Mus musculus: one gene and its partner. The main gene of each other region encodes a partner of the protein of the gene in region 2 in a complex. Links are inferred from orthologs where the notes say so. Each region holds a gene or a part of one and is shown on either strand. Other genes may lie near its edges. The genes, in order: Eme2 and Mus81.

The links.
Region 1: the proteins of Mus81 (region 2) and Eme2 are in contact, whole or in part, in a crystal structure (PDB 7F6L), measured with the Homo sapiens proteins. The link is inferred for Mus musculus from reciprocal best matches to the Homo sapiens genes MUS81 and EME2. Residues at the interface, in NP_079404.3 of Homo sapiens: His330, Glu351, Phe354, Lys357, Arg358, Arg363, Val365, Glu381, Leu385, Gln386, Thr389, Asn390, Gln392, Val393, Ile394, Phe398, Lys400, Arg401, Tyr411, Leu414, Leu415, Arg417, Gly418, Leu419, Arg421, Leu422, Pro447, Ile464, Lys467, Ala468; in NP_001244299.1 of Homo sapiens: Glu140, Arg177, His179, Glu220, Glu221, Val224, Leu225, Gln227, Leu228, Trp229, Asn231, Leu232, Asp233, Leu235, Arg245, His246, Ala249, Val250, Lys252, Ala253, Leu254, Gln256, Tyr257, Lys260, Gln261, Glu264, Gln266, Phe268, Phe270, Cys271.

The regions. Positions count from the first base shown.
Region 1 is NC_000083.6:24,892,288-24,896,841, forward strand, and holds the start of Eme2 (probable crossover junction endonuclease EME2), read right to left. Parts: upstream 2,801-4,554; 5' UTR 2,763-2,800; coding exon 2,534-2,762; intron 2,421-2,533; coding exon 2,284-2,420; intron 1,937-2,283; coding exon 1,844-1,936; intron 1,356-1,843; coding exon 1,264-1,355; intron 1,112-1,263; coding exon 1,018-1,111; intron 868-1,017; coding exon 752-867; intron 658-751; coding exon 468-657; intron 397-467; coding exon 226-396; 3' UTR 1-225. Other genes in the region: Mrps34 (28S ribosomal protein S34, mitochondrial), read left to right, coding at 2,881-3,201, 3,375-3,417, 3,501-3,793; Nme3 (nucleoside diphosphate kinase 3 precursor), read left to right, coding at 4,227-4,272, 4,341-4,471. UniProt on the Homo sapiens protein: Non-catalytic subunit of the structure-specific, heterodimeric DNA endonuclease MUS81-EME2 which is involved in the maintenance of genome stability. In the complex, EME2 is required for DNA cleavage, participating in DNA recognition and bending.
Region 2 is NC_000085.6:5,482,006-5,485,623, forward strand, and holds the end of Mus81 (crossover junction endonuclease MUS81), read right to left. Parts: coding exon 3,483-3,618; intron 3,349-3,482; coding exon 3,253-3,348; intron 3,156-3,252; coding exon 3,034-3,155; intron 2,952-3,033; coding exon 2,854-2,951; intron 2,225-2,853; coding exon 2,108-2,224; intron 2,021-2,107; coding exon 1,925-2,020; intron 1,759-1,924; coding exon 1,630-1,758; exon of another isoform or gene 1,554-1,629; coding exon 1,450-1,553; intron 1,217-1,449; exon of another isoform or gene 1,187-1,216; coding exon 1,103-1,186; intron 1,025-1,102; coding exon 958-1,024; 3' UTR 556-957; downstream 1-555. UniProt on the Homo sapiens protein: Catalytic subunit of two functionally distinct, structure-specific, heterodimeric DNA endonucleases MUS81-EME1 and MUS81-EME2 that are involved in the maintenance of genome stability.

The DNA of each region.
Region 1 (4,554 bases), on a different chromosome or scaffold from region 2:
GGCCACTACCCTCCACTCTTCCATTCACCTCAGCTTCCCTTACCCTCTCACCCACCTCCCATGGTATTTCCATTTGACCATCAGGCAACAGAGTCTATCTACCACAGTCTGAAAAGGTATGGGCTGGACCCAAACCTCCTTGCCTGCCTCTCAGAATAATTAGATTCTTAGGCAGACTTGTCCTGTTGTACTGATGGGCAGGAGGTGACCCCAGGATGGCACAGGTCAAGAGCTCAGGTCCAGCAGGAGGTCAGGGTTGGTGGTTGTCAAGAAGATACAGATTCTGCGTGAGAGGTCAGGCCCCACTCTGCGAGGCTGCTTGCCTTTGTGGGCCTTCACAGGGAGATCAGCTAGGAGGCTCAGGCGTTCTTGCTCTGTGCTGCAGTCCAGGAGAGCCTGGAGTAGGCACAAGTGTAAGGGGTGGACGGTAAGTCCTGATCCTGGAAGGAGGGATTTAGGGGACTCACCTGTTGCAAAAGGCGGGGTGATGGGAAGGCAGTAACAACAGCGTCAGCCACAGCTGGGCTGACCCGGTTGAACTGTCTGATTTGTCGCCACCACACTCCTCTGAGCCCAGAGCCATCTCTGGTCACTTGCTGGCCTGAGGCCCAGTGCCCTGCTGTGCAGAAAGAAAAGGCCTGGGAGTCCCGGTGCTGCCTGAAATGACACCCAGACAGACGCTTTGAGAACCCCATTTGTGCAGCCCTCCGACCCTGGCCTGTGTCCACTCGGCCCCTGCAGAGATGCATACTTCGAGGGGAGCTGCGAGAGGGCCCTGGTGAAGGCACACACGTACTGACTCAGCTCCTGCCACGAAGCCATCAGCAGCACATCCAGGTTTGCATGGAGCTGCAGCAGCACCAGGATCTGGGGAGTGTGAGAGTGGGTACGGACCACATGACCTCTGGGGAATGCCAGCCCAGTGATCCTGGGAACTAAGGCCAGTTCTGACAGGCCAGCCTACAGCCAAGTGCAGAGACAAAGGCAAGGCACCTAACAACTCCACACAGCCCTCACCTCCTCCACCTCAGCCCAGCTGATGGCTCCCCTGGCATGGGCTTCCTTTGACTTCTTTAGTTGCCATGTCTTCTGAGAACTGAGCTGGTGAGACCTGAACAGAGGGGATGATCTTTTGGGCTCCAGAGTCTCCTACCTCTGCAGAGCCAACTCAGGCCAAGTGGGGTTAGCTGTGACAGAGCCACCAGAGGCAAGCCACTTTCCTGGAATCCCACCCAAGCCAGCCCTACTGAGGTTAAGTGGTACCACAGGTATGCGTCCAGTCCAATGACAGCCAGATGGGAGCGGGTGAGACTCTTGGGAGAAAGCCAGGGGATGGAGCAAGGTGGATCTGTGATCTGAAAGCAAGAATATCCCCATACTTGTTCACAGGAGGGCTTTGACGGCAGGCCTATAGCCACTGTTGTACCAGGGGAATGTTACCCAGCATGTGTTTGACAAACGTTGGCCCTTGGACAGCGACACCTGCAAAGCGTTTAGCAGAACTGTGCTCTAGGCAAATACCAGTTGGGCATTGTTACCTTTAAGTCTAGGGAATATAAGCAGCCAAGTGAGGGATTATTAGCTTTTGTAGACAGAGCCCACAGCCAGTGCCTACATTATACAGACACCATCAGCTAGAATTCTCAGTTCCTCCTCCATGCCTGGCCAGTTTGCAGTCAGGTCACTATTCTCCTAAAGGCTCTCTAACGCTCTGATGTCTGGAGCACGCAGCAGGCTTTCTCATCTCACCCTCAACACCTTGATGATCCTCGACAGAAGCTCCATCCCATCCCAGACTGTCAAAGGAGACCCATCAAATAAAGATAGGGCTTTTCCCCATTACCTGGGTCAGCTGCGCAGCACCCTGAAGAAATTCCTGGGGTTCCAGCAGCAGCAACTGTTCCTGCTCATTTTCAGCCTTCGCCTCCAGAGGCACCTATAGGGGATATCAGCTGCCCTGCTAACCACCAGTGTGAGCCCAGGGCTTCTCCCTGTGCTGGCCAGTCAGTCACCAGACACTATCAATAACCCTCCAGCTCCCGTGAAGTTCAGGCCAGTTGGGTCTGTTCCCTAGAAGTCCCTGAATACAAAAACTAGCCCAACTCCCATCCTCATTGCCAACAGGAGGTTATCTGGCAGCAGCTGAGTTCAGGTTTCTTGTGTTAAGAAATTCGACTTAGGCATCCTTCAGTTTTTTTCGCCTCCTGTGCTACCTCGCTAGCCAGAGGAAAAGTGAAACATGGATTAGGACTGGCACTGGGCTGGTCATAGGGAGACACTCACATTGCTGGGGGCCGGGTCGGGCCTGACAACGTTCCACTGCAGGCTGCGGGCCTGGTGCTGCGGTTCGATGCGGCATTCACAGCCTAGCGTGCCCAGCGCCTCCATCAGGATGTCAGAGCCTGCATCTTCCAGGACAGCTGGATCCCAGCAGGCACATTGAGTTATTCCACCATCTCCAGTGCGGACTAGTGGGTGACAACGCTACCCTGTCTGGTGGCTGGCCCCAGATTCCCAGCCCCCGTCCCCTCACCTGGGTCCACGCACACCACCAGTCGCCCCAGAACCTGATCTGCCCGTAAAGCCTTGGCTGCAGCTCTGCGCTCTCCTGCTGGACTCGGGGCTTGCGTGCCGACCTCCCTAGCGGGGACACCTTCACCGTCTGAGTCGGAAATCTCCCAGGTTTGAGGTCGCCGATGGCCGAGACGCAGGCCCCGACCGAGACGCGAGACCGTGACTCTCCCGGGACCAACCTCCGCCATAAGTCCTTCGTTCCTGAAGCTTCCGGACGTACCCGGATGCTTTTGTTCAGGACACCGGCCGCTTCCGGAACGGGAGAGCTCCTGAAGCGCAGATTTCCTGTGGAGTAAGGACACTGACATGGCGCGGAAGAAAGTAAGACCCCGGCTGATCGCTGAGCTGGCTCGCCGCGTGCGCGCCTTGCGCGAGCAGCGGAACCAGCCGCGAGATTCGCAGCTCTACGCCCTAGACTACGAGACGCTGACCCGGCCGCACTCCGGTCGCCGGCTGCCGGTACGCGCCTGGGCCGACGTGCGTCGCGAGAGCCGCCTCCTACAGCTGCTCGCCCGCCTCCCCTTGTTCGGCCTGGGCCGTCTGGTTACCCGCAAGTCCTGGCTGTGGCAGCACGACGAGCCATGCTACTGGCGCCTCACGCGTGTGAGGCCCGACTACACGGCGCAGGTGCGCTAGCTTCCTGTACTGCCCATTCTTGTTTCCACTTTCATTTTGCCCACCCTGGACTATACATCGGCTGGTTTCACCCACTCTGAGCCACCTGGGCATGTATGTCTCCCTTACCCACGTAACTTAGTGGCAGGGGCTGCATGTTGACAATCCTCCCTCTTGTTCTGCAGAACTTGGACCACGGGAGGGCCTGGGGCATCCTGACTTTCAAAGGTAAGGCTGGATGCTGGTTGGAGCCGGGGATGGTTCTCATATCATCCAGCCAGCAGGCAGTCAGCTTGTCTTCTTTCCTTCAGGGAAGAGTGAGGATACGGCTCGGGAAATCGAGCAAGTCATGTACCACGATTGGCGTTTGGTACCCAAGCACGAGGAGGAGGCCTTCACTGCGTTCACTGCGAAACCAGAGGACAGATTGAATTCTGTCCCCTATCCACCTCTGCTGCGAGCCATGATCCTCGCTGAACGGCAGAAAAACGGGGATACCAGCGTCCAGGAGCCGCTCCTGAACCTGGAGAGGACTCGAATGCGCCCCTGGGACTACCCTGCAAAACAGGAGACGAAAGGGAGGGCCAAGGGCACCCCAGTCTAACTGCCAGGACTGGCAGAGAGGTCCTGTGAGTCATTTGATGGACGAGTGCCTTTGACTGTGCTAGATCTTCACTTCGGTGGCGAGTTATATCCTACAGCCCTGACACATCAGGCAATGAATAATGGGGCAGATGACAGGCTGCTTGGTGTCATTTTCAGGCGGGCCCCTCTCTGATTCCTCGGTCTGGAAATAAACGCCAGGAAACAGCCTGTGTTGTGGTTTCATTACATGTGTACCGCAGGACAAGGGAGGAAAGGTGGCGGTATGGAGCAGAGCAGCAGGTGCTCCCGCACACTCAGGCAGGACTTGGGCGCCGAGACTGCGCTTTGGGCTCAAATGTGCTGGGATTGCAGAGCCCCAGGAGAGCCCGCGCCAAGAGGTCCTTTAAGGGAGGCCCCGCCCCCTTGCCGCTTGGCCCGCCCCATCCGCCGCCATGATCTGTCTGGTGCTGACCATCTTTGCTAACCTCTTCCCCTCAGGTGAGCACCCGGGCGGGGCCGGGCGGGGGTCGCCCGGTGGGGCATGCCTGAAGCCAGTACTCCCGCAGCCTACAGCGGCGTGAACGAGCGCACGTTCTTGGCAGTGAAGCCCGACGGCGTGCAGCGGCGGCTGGTGGGCGAGATCGTGCGTCGCTTTGAGAGGAAGGGCTTCAAGCTGGTGGCACTGAAGCTAGTGCAGGTGTGGGCGCACAAAGGAGCAGGTGGATCCGGGAAGGGAATCGGGACGGTCTAGGGTTGGGGCCCTGGTATAGGTCGCTACTC
Region 2 (3,618 bases):
TGGCGCACACCTTTAATCCCAGCACTCAGGGGAGACAGAGGCAGGTGGATTTCTGAGTTCGAGGCCAGCCTGATCTACAGAGTTCAAGGACAGCCAGGGCTACACAGAGAAACCCTGTCTCAGGAGGAAGAAAAAAAAAAAAAAAAAAAAAAGGCCTGAGCAGGGAGTTCTGAAGAGTATGTACCTCAGGTCCTCACTCAAGAGCTTGGCTGATACTGGGCCCAGGAACCATGTTCTGGTCAGTGCTAGGAGTTTGGGGTTAGCATCCTAGCTCTACCCCAAGCTCTGCACTTGTACAAGCCTCTGGTCTCCAGTCACTAGAATGAGGCAGCTGGATTGAGAAACTTTTTGACCGGGGGCCATCTAATTACACTCAAACATACAGTGCCTTATTGACCCCATCTCTCTGACCAGGGCATTCCCAGCCCCTAAGGAGTGTTTATCTATTATCCAGCCATCCATATTTAGGGTCTGGCTCTATGTAAGTACTTATTAAACATGGGTGTGCACAACCATGTTTAGCCCAGGAGCTTGCCTTAAAAAGAACCATGGTGTGGTGCCCCACACCTTTAATTTCAGGTCTTGGAAGGTAGACCCAGAAAAACTGGGAGTTCTAGGCTAGACTAGGTTACAGAGCAAGTTTTAGGCCAAGCTGGTTTTAGGAATGGGTAAGGACACTGTACAGGGCTGCGGATCATTGCTTTTTGGAAGAGGAATTGCCTAGTAGGTGTGAGGCTCTGGGTTCCGCTGCTAGCACCACCACACACAACAGTTGGCTCAGCAGTGTAGTCTTCCAACCCCTGTAGATTTCAGAAGGACCTTGGCATTGCTTCCTTAACAGCCGAGACCACACACATCCAGATTTTTATTAAAGCCCAGGGGATCTCAGCTAAAAGGCTAGCCAGCCTTGGTAGAGATGAAGATGGGTGCTGGGGAGCGAGCGTCTCCTGGTACAGCTCAGCTCAGAGGGCTGTGGCTGCAGTACAACTGGTACAGGGTCCTGCTCAGAGCGGGTCCCAGATTCCTGGAAGACAGGTCAGGAGGAGGTCAGCCTGGTGCCTCAGGTGACCCAGTCTTCTCTCCAGATCATAACTACCCGTACCTCTGCAGACGCCCACACTTGATGGTGCTCAAGAGCATCTCCTGCTCCTTCGCGGTGGCACAGGCATCATAAGCAGCCAGGAGACTGGGGGTAGGGCATATAAAGGCTGATTATCTGGCAAGCATTAGGAGACATGAGGACATGAGAGGTAAGGCAGGAGGGGTCTAGCCTAGAGTGGAGGAATCTTAAACACGACACATTTCCTGTTTCTGGTGTTAAGAGCCCCTCCCTCCCTCCTTGGGAAACGCTGGGACAGAGCCTGCCAAGGTGCCCACGCAGAGCCAAGCTCAGTCTCCAGGAGCACTGGTTGTGGTGAACTCTGCCCTCAGCCGCTCTCTGGGGCGTACCTGGCAGGGGTGCTGTATCGATCCACCACGGCTGCTGCCTTCTCCCCACTCAGTCCACGCACCTGCATCAGCTGCCGGGCAAATACTTCTCGCACAGACTGGGCCTGGGGTTGGGGTAGGCCTGTGTTAAGGGTGACCTTGGCCTAGGCCACCCGAGCAGAGGTGAGGCAGGGGTGGTACCTTGTTCTTGACAGCTTCTGCATTGAAGTCACTGAAGGTGAGGAGTGAGCAGAGAGGGTTTGTGGAAGGCTTTGCTTCTGATTCAGCAGCCCCTGGGGCCCCCCAAGGGCGGCTGCGTAGGGTGTGGCCCTGATGGAAGAGGGGACTGAGGCCAGGGTAGGCTCTGAAGACTAAGCCCCAGCTAGTCCTTTCCCAGGCCTCAGTAGGAAGCCTGAAGAACTAGGACCCCACCTTTCCTTGCTTGGGCAATAAACACCAGGCAAGGGTCCAGTTCTGGATAGAGGCATCTGCTCACCTGGTACAGTCTTTCCAGGCCCTTTGTCAAAAGCGCCAGGTAGCCAGCCGACTCCTTAATATCCATGGTTCGCTTCACAAAAAAGCCATCAATGACCTGGAGAAGAAGACACAAGGAAGGGAGCTCCTGGCCTGCGCCATGGTCTGTAAAATCTGCCAGCCTGGTCCTGTCCTCCCAGCTCACCTGGGTGTTTGTGACAGCCTGCAGCAAGGTGCTCTCGGGAAGGCTAAGGTTGTGGACAGACCCATGTTCTTCCACTAAGTATACCCGGTGCCCCAGGCCACAGCGCTTCAGGCGGAACTAGGAAGGCAGGTAGAAGCAGTGTGGTTAGGCCCAAATGCCCACGTGTCCAGGCTAGCCATCAGTAACACATTAACACTGCAAGGGACCCAGATCCTCATCTTTACTGGCTCTCTCACATCCTTTGCTTGTTTTGAGACATAGTTCTCTGTGTAGCCCTGGCTGTCCTGGAACTCAGAAATCCCCCTGCCTCTGCCTCCCAAGTGCTGGGATCAAAGGCATGTGCCACCATTGCCTGGCACCTCTCATATCTTAAAAGCAACACCACACTAGGCTCTGGTCCTGTAGGAAAGCCCTGAACCTCCGGACATCATACTTCCTCCAAACCTCCCTTGGCCTACTGTGCTCTGTGACCCCTAGGGTTAGTCCTGTTGCTGGGACTTGGGTATAGACTCTGCATTTCTAACCTTAAGAGGTTTGCCTCTTGTTTATATAAGATCTCTAGGGCTAGGTACTCAAGGGCTCTTTAATTTTCTCCAGCCAACTGAAATAGCTTTGTTTTTCAACTGTGCACCTGCATGGCTTAAAAGGGGCTTCAAGTGGGTGTGGTTGGAGGCTCTGCTTTGAGGCCACCCGGGAGCTTTTCTATGTTGAGGTAAGCAAGGAGTGAGGCAGGCTGACTAAGGCACCTTCTGCTCCCGAAAGCGGCCGTCAATGATGCTGCTGCATAGGTCATCTAGCCGCTTGCGTTCCACAATGTGGTCCAGGACCAGCTCCCCAGGTCTTTCTGCGGAGAAACCAAGAAGAGCTTTCCTGCCTTCCCTGTCTCTACCTAGGCCAGCCTCCCTTGTCTATCCAAGACCCTTTACCTGGGTCTCTGGGCCTGGTCTCCTGTGCCACCCACACAAAGTCTCCAACGTGTAGCTTGCGTACGGTGTGGGGCACACGCAGCCTTTGTAACTCTCGGAGCATTTCTGGCCTGTGTCCTGCCCTGATATTTCAAGAAGGAAGGCCAAGTCAGGGTGAGCCAGCACTCGCCACATTCCAGCATCCTCAAGTCGTTTTTACAGTTTCCCCTATTTCCTTACCCTCTGGTTTCGCCAATGTCCACACACAACAGCACTCTGTACTCGCTAGGCCTTAGCTCCAGTGGTCTCTGCTGGACGGCCCCCTCGGTGGTGCCACTATAATGGAATGGAGGCTATGCATAAGGCCAGAACCTTCAGTGCCAGGGTAGTTCCCCTAAATCCCAGGGGCAACTGGTTCAGCTATTAGTCTCAGGGAGAAAGGTATGGCTGCCCCCATTTCTTTTTCTTACGGTTCTGACAAGGCTTCTGGAACTGCTGAGTCCTCTCCGTGATGTTCCTCTGGCCTAAAGCCAGCGTGCCGAGTGCTCAGGCCTTCCGCCTCGGCCAGCTTCTGAGCCAGCTCCAGACCCTCTGGTGTGAGTGCAT